Arabidopsis thaliana: one gene and its partners. The protein of the gene in region 3 interacts with the protein of the main gene of each other region in a pairwise test. Each region holds a gene or a part of one and is shown on either strand. Other genes may lie near its edges.

What was found.
Region 1: the proteins of SWI3A (region 3) and PEI1 interact in a two-hybrid assay, tested with the Arabidopsis thaliana proteins (one large-scale study listed by BioGRID).
Region 2: the proteins of SWI3A (region 3) and AT3G11100 interact in a two-hybrid assay, tested with the Arabidopsis thaliana proteins (one large-scale study listed by BioGRID).
Region 4: the proteins of SWI3A (region 3) and AT1G51120 interact in a two-hybrid assay, tested with the Arabidopsis thaliana proteins (one large-scale study listed by BioGRID).

The regions. Positions count from the first base shown.
Region 1 is NC_003076.8:2,370,756-2,374,200, reverse strand, and holds PEI1 (Zinc finger C-x8-C-x5-C-x3-H type family protein), read right to left. Parts: upstream 1,583-3,445; 5' UTR 1,486-1,582; coding exon 748-1,485; 3' UTR 546-747; downstream 1-545. Other genes in the region: AT5G07490 (uncharacterized protein), read right to left, coding at 3,198-3,412. UniProt on the Arabidopsis thaliana protein: Embryo-specific transcription factor required at the globular to heart stage transition in embryo development.
Region 2 is NC_003074.8:3,475,643-3,479,871, forward strand, and holds AT3G11100 (sequence-specific DNA binding transcription factor), read right to left. Parts: upstream 2,259-4,229; 5' UTR 1,679-2,258; coding exon 943-1,678; intron 862-942; coding exon 848-861; 3' UTR 545-847; downstream 1-544.
Region 3 is NC_003071.7:19,530,167-19,534,971, reverse strand, and holds SWI3A (SWITCH/sucrose nonfermenting 3A), read right to left. Parts: upstream 3,026-4,805; 5' UTR 2,939-3,025; coding exon 2,881-2,938; intron 2,726-2,880; coding exon 2,205-2,725; intron 2,110-2,204; coding exon 1,663-2,109; intron 1,503-1,662; coding exon 1,363-1,502; coding exon of another isoform or gene 1,305-1,362; exon of another isoform or gene 1,278-1,304; coding exon 1,228-1,277; intron 1,142-1,227; coding exon 996-1,141; intron 898-995; coding exon 721-897; 3' UTR 501-720; downstream 1-500. Other genes in the region: AT2G47630 (alpha/beta-Hydrolases superfamily protein), read right to left, coding at 67-163, 306-335; AT2G47610 (Ribosomal protein L7Ae/L30e/S12e/Gadd45 family protein), read right to left, coding at 3,571-3,702, 3,795-3,887, 3,969-4,267, 4,426-4,627, 4,747-4,791. UniProt on the Arabidopsis thaliana protein: Component of a multiprotein complex equivalent of the SWI/SNF complex, an ATP-dependent chromatin-remodeling complex, which is required for the positive and negative regulation of gene expression of a large number of genes.
Region 4 is NC_003070.9:18,936,344-18,939,661, reverse strand, and holds AT1G51120 (AP2/B3 transcription factor family protein), read right to left. Parts: upstream 1,572-3,318; coding exon 513-1,571; downstream 1-512. Other genes in the region: AT1G51130 (Nse4, component of Smc5/6 DNA repair complex), read left to right, coding at 1-182; AT1G51110 (Plastid-lipid associated protein PAP / fibrillin family protein), read right to left, coding at 2,178-2,250, 2,353-2,460, 2,544-2,623, 2,706-2,759, 2,847-2,939, 3,027-3,110, 3,193-3,318.

The DNA of each region.
Region 1 (3,445 bases), on a different chromosome or scaffold from region 3:
AATTGATCCTGAATCCTCTTAATCTCATTAAGCAATTTTTCTTTTTTCTGTTGGACATTACCAAAAACTTCTTTATTCCATCTCTTTAGAGTACCTCGCAGTTTAAACAGAGCAACTTAGAGTACCATGCTCTTAGGTGTTCCGTCATGTAGTTCATATTATATCAATTTTAAATTAAAAATTGATTTTACTATTTTCATATTTGGTTTTCTTATACCAAAGCAAATTGATTATAGATGTTTTTAAGATAAATTATCAATTATAAATTTTTTAATTAAAAATTACTTTATTTGTAACTAAATTTTCTTTCAACATCTACATTTTACAAAATAATCGTATATACTGTCAATCAAATTGCTGTTTTATTTTTCTGGTCAACGATCAACAACCCAAACTTTTTATAGCTATATACGGATATACCGAGTTACTGACAAGCGACAACTATAATATCTACGTAACGGTTGCATGACTAGTAGTGACTAAAATACAAACTTAGCCAATTTTCTTTTGAAACTCTGTTTTATAACATTGTTTATACGATAGAAAATACAAAGACTTATAGAAGATCAAGAATCTGTTTACATGCAAAGAGAAGTAACTTCTTTTGCGACATTGCAATAAATCATTACAATTAAATTTACCATATACATGACAAGATCTCTCATCTTGAATCTTGATCTTGTGGATTTTAACAAAATCCACTTTATTTATCGGGTTTCTTTTGTTCTCTGCTTTGATTTCCCAAATTTAATCGACCAACTCTGAGATCCAATCAAAGTGTGACAAATCCAAATCCAAATCGGACGGCTCATAATGATCATCCACAATGCTCATCCGACTCCAACACTTCAACAACACCTTCTCCTCGTTACTATCTAAATCATCTTTCCCGCTTCTCACCGGAGACCGTGACGTGTCGTAACCCTCGTCGTCCATTCTCATCGTCACTCCATCGCCGTTTCCACCACCTCTAGCCCTCACCGGCCTATATGCGTACCTGCACCTGTGCTTTCCTTCAGACTGCCTTAGCTGCTCCGGCGCGTGGGCAAAGAAACACACTTTCCTCTGACACAAGTTCCCGGCGTTACATGCGCGTGTTCGGTAACGCGCCGGGTGGAGCCAGTACTCGAATACGCCATGTGCGAATTCGCATGAGTCGCCACGGTGGCATGCGCCATTTCGGAAAGCCGGGCATGCGACTGCACAGTAAGTGTAACGGCGAGGATCACGGCGTGTGGCTTTCTCGCCACGGTGAGCGTAGGGACACTCCGTCCAGTCGTGGCTACGAGTACGAGGACACCGTTTGATTTTGTAAGCGTACATACGGAACTCATCTGAGCCGTAGATCGCATCGTCGATGTTTGGGATCGAAGGGTCAATCTCGTAAGCTCCTGCGTTCCCAGGTTTGCTTAAAATGTACCCGAAAGTAGAGTATTGCTGCTCTCCGATATCGTAGAATGCCATTGGACTTGCACTTTTCAACATTTTTCCTTGCAATGATCTAAAGAGTTATTTTGGTTTAATAAATGTCTTTCTTTCGAAATTTAAGAAAGGAACAAAAAAAAAACTACAGAGATTTCATCTTAGGAAAATCTTAAGTAATTTAGGAAACTGAAAGGGGAATTTATAGGAAGAAAAACGAAATAAAAAGTCGAATATTTAATAATTTTACCTTTTGCAATGAAAAATGCCAAAACTATATTTTAAAGTTTAAACGTTACAGTTATTTTTTGTTGCATGCACTTATATACTGTGGATACATAATATCTTAACGGCAACGGAAGATGGTGAAAGATAAACTAATATGATTTGAAGATATATTTTTCCAGATGCAGCAGATCGTATGTAAAGTATATACAATTACAGTAATTTACAAAAATCGTCATCATGATCAACGTTTTAGAATATTTCAATATTTGATTATGGTGTTAAATGGTGTTTGATTCGTGAGAGGTAAAGTTAACAGACGTTAATAAGGGCAGCGTTTACGTGAAGGAAGAAGAGTGAAAAACATTTGGAAACACACGAGTGGTAAAAATTGCATGAGAAGGCACACGTGTAAGTGATAATCAGAAGAACTTAAAAATAATAAAGAGGAGAGGAGCACCATCTGGCACACGTGTCGAGAGGAATCCTTTAAATCCTCGACAGCCGTTTCTCTTTTGCAATCTTGGTAGGTTGGTGAGAGCATTGCTAAATCCAAAGACAATAGAAATAGTTTGCAAATGTCATTTCCATAATTTATATTTTAGTCGTAATAAATTTGATCGAAGTAGGAAATGATTATACAGCATACTATTATCACCATAAAAAGCTTATTTATCACTTTTTTATTTAGATCCGAAAAGTTTTGCGTTAAATACATTTTTTCGGAGCGAAAATCAGGCATAAATAAAGTTTTTTCTGTGCACTTGATATTCGTATCGTTTTTTCTTTATGTCCGAAAAGTTTTGCGTTAAATACATTTTCTCGGACCGAAGATAAGACAAAAACAAAACTTTTTCCTCGCATCTACTATTCAAATCGCTTTTTTGTTATATCCGAAAATTGTTACGTTAAATACATCTTTTTAAATTGAGAATCGTACGAAAATAAAGTTTTTTCATCATTTCATATCCGAATCTACTTTTTTTAAAATATGGTTTTAGATTCTAACTGTTTTAGCTATGAATTTTAGATAAAAAAATAATTTCTTTCTAATTTGTAGCTAAAACAGTTGAATCTAAAATCATGTTATAGAAAAATTGGATTCGGATATAATTGTTTTCTTTTTGTTTAGAGCCTTTACACACTAGATTAATGTCTTTATTTTTGGCAGATCTATAAAGTGACGGTTTTTAATCAGAATTTATGCCAGTTTACAAGGTTTTTTTTGGAAAGACGCGTATTCTTTTCTGAAAAGAAAAGAAGCAATTGCATGCACAAATGGTAACGTTTAAACTTTTTTCCCTAGTCTTTTTTAAACATCAAACCGCTGTCCTCCAAGTTGTAGCAGATTAATCAAAAAGAAAGGCGTCAATACAGAGTGAAAGTAGTTCTTGTGGATCTTGAAGATAATGTGAAGAACTAAATATAAAAGTTTAACCAAAGAAACACATCTCCTGATCAACTAACATGCGCAATCAAAATAGAAAGAAAAAAAAGAATAATTCGTTTTGAAAGTTTATCTCGTAAATATTTATCAAACAAAAAGGTGATTAATAAAAACCTTTCATCACTTTCCTTGAAGCTTGTATCCTCCGATTGCGTTTATTAGCCTCGCGTTTTAGTTTATTTTTTGAATGTCCGACCTCTGTGGCGGCTCCTAAGAATCCGGTCTGAGTTCCGTCGCTGTCATTGTCAATGTCTCCTTCGATCGTTAATCCTTCAATCCTAGCCGCAATGGAGTCCCCTTTCACCCCAACATCTACATCTATACGTAAAAAAATGTGCAATCATTTTATTT
Region 2 (4,229 bases), on a different chromosome or scaffold from region 3:
TAATCAGATGCTTACTTCATCATATGTATGAAAAAGGGTTTTAACTTCAAAAGTAACCATCACATGCGATGAGATAACTCAGGTACAAGATGAGCCTTGGAAGGTCAGAGTCCTTACCAGTTTTGGACCAAGTGGTAGGCCAAGGTGAGTAAAGTGAGGTGTTTTAGATGAAGAGCTTCTTTGTAAGTCAGGTATGAATAGGAGAGCACATGCTTATGTCATCCCGAAATTCTACCAAACATGAAACATTGATATATATGCTTCTATGATGTTCTTTTTTGAGGCTCCAATAATACAGCCTCATGTGTCAACTCGTCTCCCTCAGGCCACAAGAGTCTTGTCCTGGAGATTCCAGAGTGCAGCAAAGTCACATAAGCAAACATCCAAATCAATAGCTTGGTGGGTTTGATCAAATTCCAAACTGAATTATGAATGACTCTGATAAGAGTTCTCCTCAGAACCGTTCTACGCATCTTGTTAAGTCTGTACACATTCCTGAAACCTGCCTAAGCAAAAGAGTAATTGCAGATCACAGAAAGAGAGATGAGCACAATTTGGAACTGCAGACACTGATACACAAACCATCATACATTGATACTTCACAAAAGTACATCTTGATATGTCAGATACTATGAGAGTTCTTTTGGTAATTCGCATTGCTACTACCAATGTAACTCTACAATGCTAAAAAAGAGAATGAAAAAGAAGAAGAAGAAAAAAAGCATCGCGCTATAACTTAAGAAAACCTAAAGATCAATAATAATAACATCTTCTCCAAATCGTATGAGCTTTAGATCCAACCATTGCTCCTTGCTTCACATCAGTAACTCCTCCACAATCTACAATCCTACAACTTCTTACCTATACAACAAACAAAGCACAACTGAAGTTTCAGTAAACTCATCAATCACAACAAAACACACATAAAAATGAAAACTTTACCTGAAGCAGCTCTTCGTTTCCCAAGTTTAGATTTCTCAAGCTCCAATTGCATCTCCATCAACATATTCATTCGTTGTAACTCAAGCTCCTTTGCAACTTCCATTCTCTGTTTCTCCAATTCAATCATCATCTGTTGCTTCTTCCCCTCGATTCTCTCAAACGCTTCCCCTAACTTCAGAATCGATCTCGCTAGCTCCCTAAAGGCTGATCCTTCACTCGAATCTACATCTTCAACTTTACGATGCTTCCTCACCACAAATCCCCAATCACCCGCATCATCATCATCTTCTTCGTCGTCATCATCATCATCATCATCGTCATCGAGAGAGCTACCAGTTGATTTAGATCCAGTAGGATTCAAATTAGGGTTCATCAACGCCGATTTAACAACAGCACCGGACGATTTCTTCATAACCGGACCGATTAAGAAATCGAGTCTATCAAAGAAGCACCAATTCGATAAAGGTTTCGCCTTTTCAGTTTTGTACTTCTTCTTCAACGTATCGATCCGGTTTTTGCACTGTACATCGGTCTTTGGCCGGCCATTCCCGTGGCTTGAATTGACGGCGTCGGCGACTTCTTTCCAATCGTTTTGCCGGAGATTTCCCCGGTTGAGATTGACGTAACGATCTCCCCAAGCTTCGATCAATGTCGCCGTAGCGTCTTCGCTCCACCAATCCTCTCTTCCCGCCGGTAGACGGTGAGTCTTCGACTGAGTCTCCGGCGTCGTCTCCATCTCGGAGTGGGAAAGAGAGGAGGCTAACGTGCGCGGTGGAGAAAGAGGCTTAGGATAAGAATTTCTGTTGGATCGGATTTTTGGTAAAGTTAAAAGAGAAATTACGGTTAAAGGAGAGATTTTTGATTACCGGCGGTGACGTCAGCAACGGCGATTATCTTCTTTCTCCTACCTCTCTCTTTTTCCTCTGCTAACCGAATCAATCACACTCATTTCTGAAAAACCGGTTATCGAAAACGGTTATCGAAAACCGGTTTAATCATAAATTGAGAGTCCTACTAACTAGGCTACTACTAGTTATAGTCAATTTCAAGCTTCTTTTAATGCGTTTCTACGGGTAATGATGATAAGATTACATTATTAAACTCATAGACTGATTGATAATAACGATTAGGGCTAGAATCTCATCAGTTCATGTCATTATAGGAAATCTTATAACGTGTATTTTTGTGTATTCTAGGAAAGACAGTAAATATGAGGTTGTATTAGTTTTGGTAGTGGTTTTTAAAAGTCATAATTGGAAAGAAAGAAATGTTATCAGAATATTAAGAAAATTTATACGTTTTGTGTATTCCAGTAACAAGATCATTTACGTTACGCCGTAACAAATTGAAGTTTGGAAGTGAAAAATGGTGGGATGTAATTAAGGAAATAGGTAAGCAGGCGAATTGTTAGGTAATAAGAGAGAGCATCGCAAACGTGTTAGGTCGTAGACTCTATGTCTATAATGTATGTTTCGTGCCGTGTCTTGTCTAATTGTCTTTTTGCTGTCTCGCCAATTGATATGTTAGTCCATGCCTAACTACTACTGTTTCCTCATAACTACTAAAATGTCGCTGAAATATTTGAAAAAAGAGCTGAGGTGTTTTTTCTGTCGATCAAAGTTTCCACGATGGTCTTGGTGAAGAGCTAGTAGAAATAAGCATATAGTTAGTGATGTTAACTTGGGCATTGAATAGCCATTTGTTAAATGGGTATGTGCAAAAAAAAATAACCCATTTAAACCCATTTAGAGAAAAATATCAAATGGGGTTAAATGGGTTACCCCAATTAAACCTATTTAATAAATGGGTTTACCCACAAACAAATGGGTACCCATTTATGTTTTATTTTATATTAGTTATTTTTATTAAAAAGTAGATAACTTAATTATAACTAAAATAAAGAGCAAAATACTAAATATATTTAAAACAAAACGTAAAATCACGTTTTTCCGCTAAAACCCATAAAATTACGTTTTCCCACCAAAATCACGTTTTTTACCAAAATCGAAAATCACATTTTCCCACCAAAATCGTAAACCGACGTTTTTCCGCCAAAATCGTAAAATCACGTTTTCCCGCCAAAACTGTAAAATGACGTTTTCCCACCAAAATTGAAAATCACGTATTTTCGCCAAACCCGTAAAATCACGTTTACCCGCCAAAATCGTAAAATCACGTTTTCCCGCCAAAATCGTAAAATCACGTTTTCCCGCCAAAACCGTAAAATCACGTTTTCCCGCCAAAATCACAAAAAGTGTTTTCCGCCAAAACCGTAAAATCACGTATTTCCGCCAAAACCGTAAACGACATTTTCCCGTAAAACCGTAAAATCAAGTTTTCCCGCCAAAATCACAAAAAAAAATATTTTTTGCCAAATTTGAAAATATTATTATCATTATATGTTATTGAAATCTATATTTTAGTAAATTATAAATATTTCAGATTTAGCTAATGTTTATGGACTGTTGTTATTTATCTATTAAGTTTATGAATTAATTAATAAAAGGCAATATCTCACTTAATTGGTTTAAATGGGTTCACATGGATTTACTAAATTTAAATGGGTAGGGTTAAATGGGTTTCAAAAATAAATGGATTTATATGAGTTTAAAGTTAAATGGAGTGGGTTTAAATGGGATGGGTTTAATTGGGGTGGGTTAGCCCATATTAACATCACTACATATAGTTTTCTAAACTAAATATGTCATTATCATCATTTACTGGTTTACATGCATCTTTTATACATTTCAAACTTTCTTATGAAAACGCAGATGTGAAAAGATAAATCATGATTTACAGGTTATCAAAGTGATGTGAGTTGGAACGTAAAACAATTTAGTTTGTCAACTGAATCTTAGACGCAATCGATTATTGTTACTCTTAAATCACTTTACAATAATATCAAATATCACATCCTGCAGCCAAGTAATCGAGCTAATCCATGATCAAGTATAGGTGGTGAAGCAACTAAAAATGTAGCCAATTTCGTTTGTACGCATAATTAAACAATGCTATTTATTTTAGTATGTTGCTACTTGCCAGTTGCTACCATTGGGATCTCGAAAACACACAAACGTACGTGCATGTTGCCTAATATAGTCTTTATTATTGTTCCTAAACTAATTAAGACAAATTAAAACAATATATAAAGTAACAAAAAAAAATCCCACTTTCCTTCAAACTTGAGTCTTGCTTGTACAGACAGTTGTACTACTTGTGGAAGCTGTTTAACTCAAATTAATATTCTCTTTCTGTTATTTTATTTAAGGAAATACAATCACGTGACT
Region 3 (4,805 bases):
TTGTTCAGTTTTATTATGTGTAATGAAGAAAGCGGCTTTTAGAAATAATAAGGAAATAACTGCAACCATGGCAGAGGAAAACCAGAGCTTTGGGAGAAGACGAAGAAGATGGGATCCATCTACATGCGAACAACTCTACACCTCTTGAATTTCTCACGTATTCCTGTCACCAATTCATACACATATTTGTTTATTCAAAGATCTAATCAATCATCTCAACACCTCTTGACATCTTCACTCTCCTGTTAAACTATTACTACTACATCTAAAATCTCTAAGCAGAGAGAGGGAGAGAGAGAGAGAACCTCGTGGTATTGGAATTCCGACGACTTCATGACCGGAGCTAGATCTTGAGAGAGAGACACTGAAGGTGACGAAGGGGTTTTGAGGACGGTCTCACCAATTTATAGAAACAAGAGTGTCACTGTTCTTTTTTTCAATTCACTTTTTTCCAAATTATGGAAAGCTCAGAAAATGTTTTCGGAATTTTATTTATTTGACGTCACACTGGGCGCGTGTGAATTAGTAGAGAGACCCATCCATTGGTCAGACATATCGACAAAAGAGGTATGTAACCTAAACCTACTCTCCTCATTAAGTCAATAAAACACATTAATACTAAATACATATAATCCTCAAAAGTCAACATAACAAATCCATAAGGAATGAGAAAACAACTCTACCCCAAGAGAAAAAAAAAGTACGAATGAAAGAAGAAGATCATTTCACGTACGTATGATCCCAACGTTTGGTAATACCGCTTCTAAACGCGCATTGCAAAACGCTAACCCTCTCTTGGATGATTGTTTCCTTTACACCCTCTATCACTTTCTCTTCTTCATCCATTATCGATTCCAAGTCGTCTAGAAACTTCAACTTGCTCTGCAGTTTCTTCAGCTGAGTACAACAAAGAGAAGCAAAACATGTCCGGTTCAAGACACAAACACAGTGGAACAGACACAAATGTTTTAATGTTGTTACAAGTTACAACCAACCTGTTGTTCTATTACTGTCGCAGCTAACTGTTCCATTTCTCTTTCTTCTTGATCAGCCAGTATTTTCGCTTGTGCAGCCGCAGCTCCTAGAGCTGTTGCCACAGACGCTCTTATCCTTAACGCTACAGGTAGACCCTGAGGCCCGTCTGCAAATATATAACGATTCCAAATCTTAAGCCTTGAGCTTTCATTATAAACCTAGGAATGCAGATTGAATCACAACACAATTTACCTTTCTCTTCTTGCTGTTCCTCCATATCTGTATCTTTCTCTCCATTGGCTCTGTGAGCAAAGTTTTGTATCTTGAGATTAGTGTAGGACATGAGAAGCCAAACCACAAGCAAATTGAGGGCTTAGAGAATCGAACCTATCAACTGTGAAATTGCTGTAGTCATCAGTGTCAAAAATCTCTTTTGGACATGAGGCTTCATCACAAAGAGCTGCAAGTGCAGCTTTTGCAGCAGCAGTTGCGACAGATGGACCAACTTTACTTGCCATGGCAGCGACCTGTTGTGCAATATGTAAACATGTTATCTCTTGAACATTCTTTTCCAGTGGAGTTAAAAAGGGCATTCTTTGCGACGGTTAAAGGTCAGAGAAGAACCCGAATGTTACACTCATATGGAAAATAATGAACACAAGGCATATAGTTTAACCAAACATTCACCTGTTTCATAAGTGAACTATCACCCTCTGATATCAGTGCAACACGTTTCCTTTTTGCTGGAGGCTCATCTTCATTCACGCGATCTTCTTTTTCTTCCCTTGTCTCTGTTTCCTCATGTTCCTGCCCATCAGTTTGCACCTGTTCCGTGTTTTCATCCTCGGTGAGGATAGAGGGATTGAGTCTTCCAGAAGCAGAACCCATCAGAAACTCTCCAAACGGGAGCTCAATGAGTTTAGAAATGCAATCTAGTCTACTCTTGGTAGAAACACTTTGTGAAATGAGTTCCCAATCATCTCCATGTTTCAGCACAGATTCTAGCAAGAGGAGGATCTCTTCCTCTGTCCACACAGCTGCAGCTGAATTCCCAATCAACTTAAAATCATCTGCAGTGTTGTTCTCCCCATAGTTTCCATTCTTGAAACACTTTTCGCATATGTTGACTATACCCTGCCAACATCATATGTCAAAAAAAAAAGAAGCATAAACAAAACAGACTAGAGAGTATGAAATATGCTAATCGAAAAAAAGCAAAAAAAAACTACCTTGTTATGTTGATAGAAAGGAGAATCGCAACGTTCTCCACAATGCGCACAAACCAATACATGATCCGGCTTCTTCAAATCACTGAAAACATCTGAATAAGAGGTAAGCGGTGGTACTTTGATGCCAGTCTCAACTCTTTCCTCAACAAGGGGCGGTGCGGTTATAGGCCTAAGAGAATTAGGGGTTGCAGTAACTCGAATTCCAGCAGGAGTCCCTTGTTCTATTTTAGCATTATCCACGGACAATAGATGGTCATTTTTCTTCAGGGAAGAGCTAAAATTGATCAATCCCCATTTTTCGAGGAAGAGAAAAACTTTCTGGAGCAAATTGACATCGCCAACAAGAAACTTGCGGACACTGGTGAAGGTGAGTCTCCGACAAGTGTCCTCTCTAAACTTATTGATAATGAAATCTCGGTACTCCTTGTAAACTTTGGGGGTTCTAGTGATTGAGCTCTCAGTGAAGAACTCCGCAAACTCGCGTCTTTCAATTTCGTGTATATCATCCCATAAGAACCAACCTTGTAAAGAACAAGACAAATCCCCAAATCAATTGCAAAGAAAACAAACCATAGAAAGCAGAAACCTAAGAGACGGAAACAGTTGAGCGAGTAAAAAGAGTAGAAGAAGAAACCCTAGAGATCTAAAAGCATGGCGAGGGTAAGAGAAGACATACTGGATTGAGCAGGAATGGTGTAGAGCTCGATCTCTGCGCTTGGATCAGTGGCTTCCATGCCCGTTACCGATTCCCTCCAATATCAAAAACCTCTGATGAATCTATTGCCAATCGCCAAATCCAAACCACACGGAGAATAATTAGTTAAGGGTCAAAAGCGAAAACTTGCCCGAAGCTGGGTCAATTATAATAAAACTCAATTTAAAATCTGGGCCCAATCTTTATTTTATCAGCCCACTTTGTTATCTAGTTATCAGCCCACTTGTTGTTAACTTTATTTCGTCAAGCCCACTTATTACTATTAACTTTTTGGTCTTCAGCTACAAATTTTAATGAACTTATATAACTCTAGTTGTTAGGGATATGGTTGCTCCAACATCGAACCATAAAGACCAAAAATTACGCACATCATTATGAGATGAACTGTAAAAGAATTTGAGAATTAAACTTATAACTCTTTCCAGAATGCAATAAGCATTTGGCTAAAATTTCACACTGTCAAGTTTTAAGTGGTTGAGAGACCAAAGAGGATCCAGCAGCTTGAATAACATTGAAACTGTCCCAAGAAATTGCAAAACATCCATAATAAAGGGTTCAACTAAAAAAGAGGTACTTCAAGAACCAGCTAAACAAAAAGCTCTATTAAGTTTTACGAATCCGAGCAAACCACAAACAAAAGAAGCTAGCCTCTTAATTCATCCTTTGGGCAGCCTCCTTTGCAATAACTCTTTCCTTTGCCTTGGTCTTTGCCTGAGACTTAGATCCCATTATGCCTCCTCCCCATTTCTTCCTGTACTCCTCGTACTTGTCATTGAAGTTGGCCTATAGACAAAAACCCAAAAACACAATCATAAGAATCTCCAACAATATGTTTCACACAATCTACCATTCTATTGGTCACAAGAAGTATTTACCTTGATAGCTTCCAGGATTTTGCTGAACTCTAGCTTGTCCTCGTTCTTGACAGTGGTCAAACACAAGCAAGAAGCAGTCTTCTGGTGAACAACCTGAAAGTCAGAGAAAGAAATAAAGATTAACTCTCCATGCTAGTGGCTATAAACTAGAGAGAAATCACCCACAACACATACCGCTCCAAGACGAGATTTGCCCTTGACAATGCAGTACGGGACTTCCATCTTCCTGCACAGAGCAGGCAACCAGACAACCAACTCAATTGGGTCGACATCATGAGCAATAACAACAAGTTGGGCCTTGTTCTGCTCAATGAGGTAGGTCACATGGTTGAGGCCGTATTTGACTACAATGGGCTTCTTAGACTCAGAAGGCTTTCCCTCAGCTTCAGCTTGGGCCTTCTTTACAAGACGCTCCTTCTTGGCAGCTTTGTCTTCTGGCCTGTACTTCAGAAGGACCTTGAAGAGGCTGGTAGCTGCAATTATCAATAACGAATATAAATAAGGCACCGAAGTCTTCTTATAAGGTTACAGCAACACAAGATTTACCAGAACTGGTAAATATTTCAATAATAAATTAACAGCAGCAAGTAGTAAATGTTTGAAGAGTAGATTGAGAATGAAATAGACATACCAAGATTCTTGTCAAGAGTCTTGGTGAATTGGTTAAGAGCTGGAGGGACCTTCAACCTCTGCTTCAGGATCCTCTTTTGCCTTTGAAGACGGATGGATTTGGGCCATTTGATGTAGCGAGAGAGATCCTTCTTAGGAGGTAAAGCTCCACCAATACCGAATTGCTTAGGCCTCCTCTCGAATAGAGGGTTTGAAACTTTCTCCTGGAGAAATCAGAAATCAAAACACAAAACTTCAGCAAGAAAGAAAAAAACAACAACAAAGAACAAATTGAATGTTCGAAAACCTAAAAAAGAAGAAGAGAATTGGAAATGAAACATACCGCGGTCTTCTTCTTAGCAGCTACCTTCACTCCTTTCTTCGGGGCCTAAAACCAAATCG
Region 4 (3,318 bases), on a different chromosome or scaffold from region 3:
GTCCCGCTGCATCAGCCCCTGCATCAGCAGACTTCACACAAGATACTCAGACAACACCAATAAGAAAACTATCGAGAAACCGAGGGTTGGTTGTACAAGAAGAAACTGTTGTAGAAGATACTCCTGACAAAGAGGGCGATGGGACTCGAAGGAGATGTAAGCGGAGACTCACCTCTTCTTAAGGAGTGTATAGAGAGAGAAGTGAGTTGTATCTATTTCATTTTGTGACATTAACTAAATGTCTTTGTTAGGATTGTTTAGTTCGTTGTAGTTTGTAGCAGTTAAGTGGCTTTTGTCTTAACTCTTAAAAGAAGAAGAATTTAAAGCCTCTTTTGGTTTTTCTTCTTCTTTTTTTTTTGATCTACTCAAGAGAGACAATTTATCTAATTAATGTTAGATATCAAAATCGAAGCATCGAGTTTGTAAATAAAAAAACTATGTAATACAAAAGCAAATAAAAACCATACTCTAATTAAGTTATAATATAAAAAACCTAAGAACCAAGTAGCTAGCTATTGGATCCTAACACCAAACAGCATAAACCCTCCTTTCTTCTCCTCTGATTTGGTTTCTTCTTCTACCTTCGAGGTAAAGAGGGTTTCTGTTTTCATCTCTTCATCAGAAATCTCATGAACCGTCTTGTTTACTTCCTCGGGAACCACGAAACCGTTGCCTGAAAAGTGATGAACATCAATCATCAAGAAGGTCTTGCTTTGGCCTTCTAATGTCTTCACATTGTTGGGGACATCGCAAGTGTAAAAGACAATAATATCTTTCTCCTTGAGATTCTTCTCCTTCACGAAACCATTCCATCCTCTGGTGAAGACAAAGCTCTGGCTACTTCTCCAGTAACAATACCTAAACTTCCATTGTCTCATTGCTCTGTCGTAAAAGACAACCTCCACATCTTCTACTCCTTCACTCGTCTCTTTCTCGCTTTGATCATCGCTTATGAAAGGCATATACTTCACTGCATACTTCTTAGGTATCACAAGCCTATTCAGTTTCCCTACATCGCTCGGTGTCAGTTCTTTCTGAAAAAGCTGCGTGCACGAGAAACACTTGTTCGATTCTTGACCACCTTCTCCTCCTCCTAAGACTTGTTTTGATCCCACGATGTTGATATTCGCAACAATCTGAGACCGGATTCTGAGAAAATCTCTGAACTTGTGTTGATAAGAACCGTCTCTGATCATGTTCAACACAGCTTCTGTCGTGTAGCACTCTTGAAAGTCCGGTTCATGGAGGGTAAAATCAGACCAAGGGAAGTTCCGGTGCGAGTTAGCATCAAAGCTTCGAAGCTTAATCGATGCGCTATCGTAAGCAGCAGCGGCTTCATGAGCGGATTTGAAAGTTCCAAGCCAAATCCTTCGATGGTCTGCGTAAATCTGAGCACCCCAATGACCGTTCTGTTGCTGAACAACTCCTTTGAATTTCGTCGTGTTGGACAAGGCAGGTTTTGTGGTGGTCGTAACCTCAGTAGGTTTCATGCGTTTCGTGAGGCTCAAGACAGAGTCAGTTAAGCCTGAAGTCTCTGTCGTTGTCTTGGCTACATTGCTCATCTCGTCCATATCCATAACAAAAAAATACAAAAATCAAGAAAAGGACAAAAAAACAAGAAACAGAGGAAGAGAGAGAGATGTTCGCAGGGAACAAGCAAAATGAAAACAGAAGAGATTAGGAAGAGTATTTGAAGGAGAGATTTGAGGGAGTAAATCCTGGAAAATCAGTATTATGTTTCTCTGTTGGTTTTGTTAACAATGAATCTTTTAGAATGTTACAGTTTCCATGTTTTGTTTTGTTTTTCTAGTTTTCTCTCGGTGAAAAAATGGCAATTTACAGAGTAATTAATGCCACCAGAAGCTGTTAGTGGTAAGTTTCCTTTGTTAGTGAGATATTCGTATTTTCTTTGTAGAAAGAAATATTCAGTGAATTTGTTTAAGATTAAGACAAAAAGTAAAGTTTTCTTAATGTTAATTTTGTCTTAATTTAGACATTAGTAGCGAAAATTATATCATGTGGTTTCTTGTTTTTTCTGGTTCCTGTTACATCCAAAAAAACTAATGAACAGAGAAAATTTAAACTATCACCTTCCATTGTTGTAAAACATTTGACAGTTTCTTACATACTATTTTTTTTCATATGTTCAAATAAGAGGTTCTGATAGAACAATGCAGCTAAATTTCTCGGATGTGCACAAAGATAATGTTATCGAATCCTCGGCTTATCCTCATCTTCTCATCTGTGTACCTACAAACATTAAAGTAAGCATCTCTGTATTAGCAATTCAAATGCATTATTATATGTTGTGATTTGTGAAAGTAGTAGAAGAAGAAGATAGAGAGATCTTACAGAATTTTTAGCTCGATATTGTTTGTTATATCGACCGGATATCCAAATGCACCGCCTATAATTGCTGCGTCGTCCATCTTCAAGTCATATGTACTGCTTTCTGATTTTCTGCAAATCATTCATGAGACCAGTCAAGAAACAAGATCACAAAAAAGTTAGCAAAATGACTAATCTAAAAGACAGAGACTTACATGAATTTGCCTTTCATGGAGAATCTAAATGCCGGAATGATGTTAACTTCAAACTTTATCCTCCCATCCTTCTCAATGATCTGAATAAGATACTCGATTTCGCTAAACGAAGCCAGCTGAAGCAACAATAGACTACCTAAGACATTCTAATAAAATGTTTACCTGTCTTCCCATAAGACCATTTGCTGCATTTTCAATCCAACTATCTGTATACATCTGCAAACACAAAACCCGAAAAATCGCTTATCCAAACGAATATAAGTGCTTGTTCAAGACAAAAGCTAAAGTTATCAGAGAAGTGACCTGTGAACTCCAAATCATTTGCCAACTTCCTTCTAAAAGCTCATAATTATCTTCCGCGGAATTAGAATTAGACGCAAGAAACTCATCGATAGCCTGTGTTTATACTAAACGATCCATTGGTTCCATTTCAAACCGAAACTATCGATTGTTTTCAGATTTCTTGAAGGCATGACACATTACCTCAGCTACTCCTTTGTCTTGAGATATGGTGGCTAACAATTTCTGCCTAGGCACGGTTTCTTTCTGAAGAACAAACGTTGTTCCCTGCGCTACAAATATACAGCCTCATGGATAAAAATGCTATAAAGCTTTAATTTTCTTTTTGAGAATCAAGAAACTCATTTACCTTGTTTCCCCTAGAAATCCTAAGGTTACCTGAAGGCGACAAATAAGTAGTATCTAGCCAACCTTTTGCTTCATCACCAAGAAGTCTAAAAGGAACTGGATATGGAACTTTGAAAGGAAGGAACTT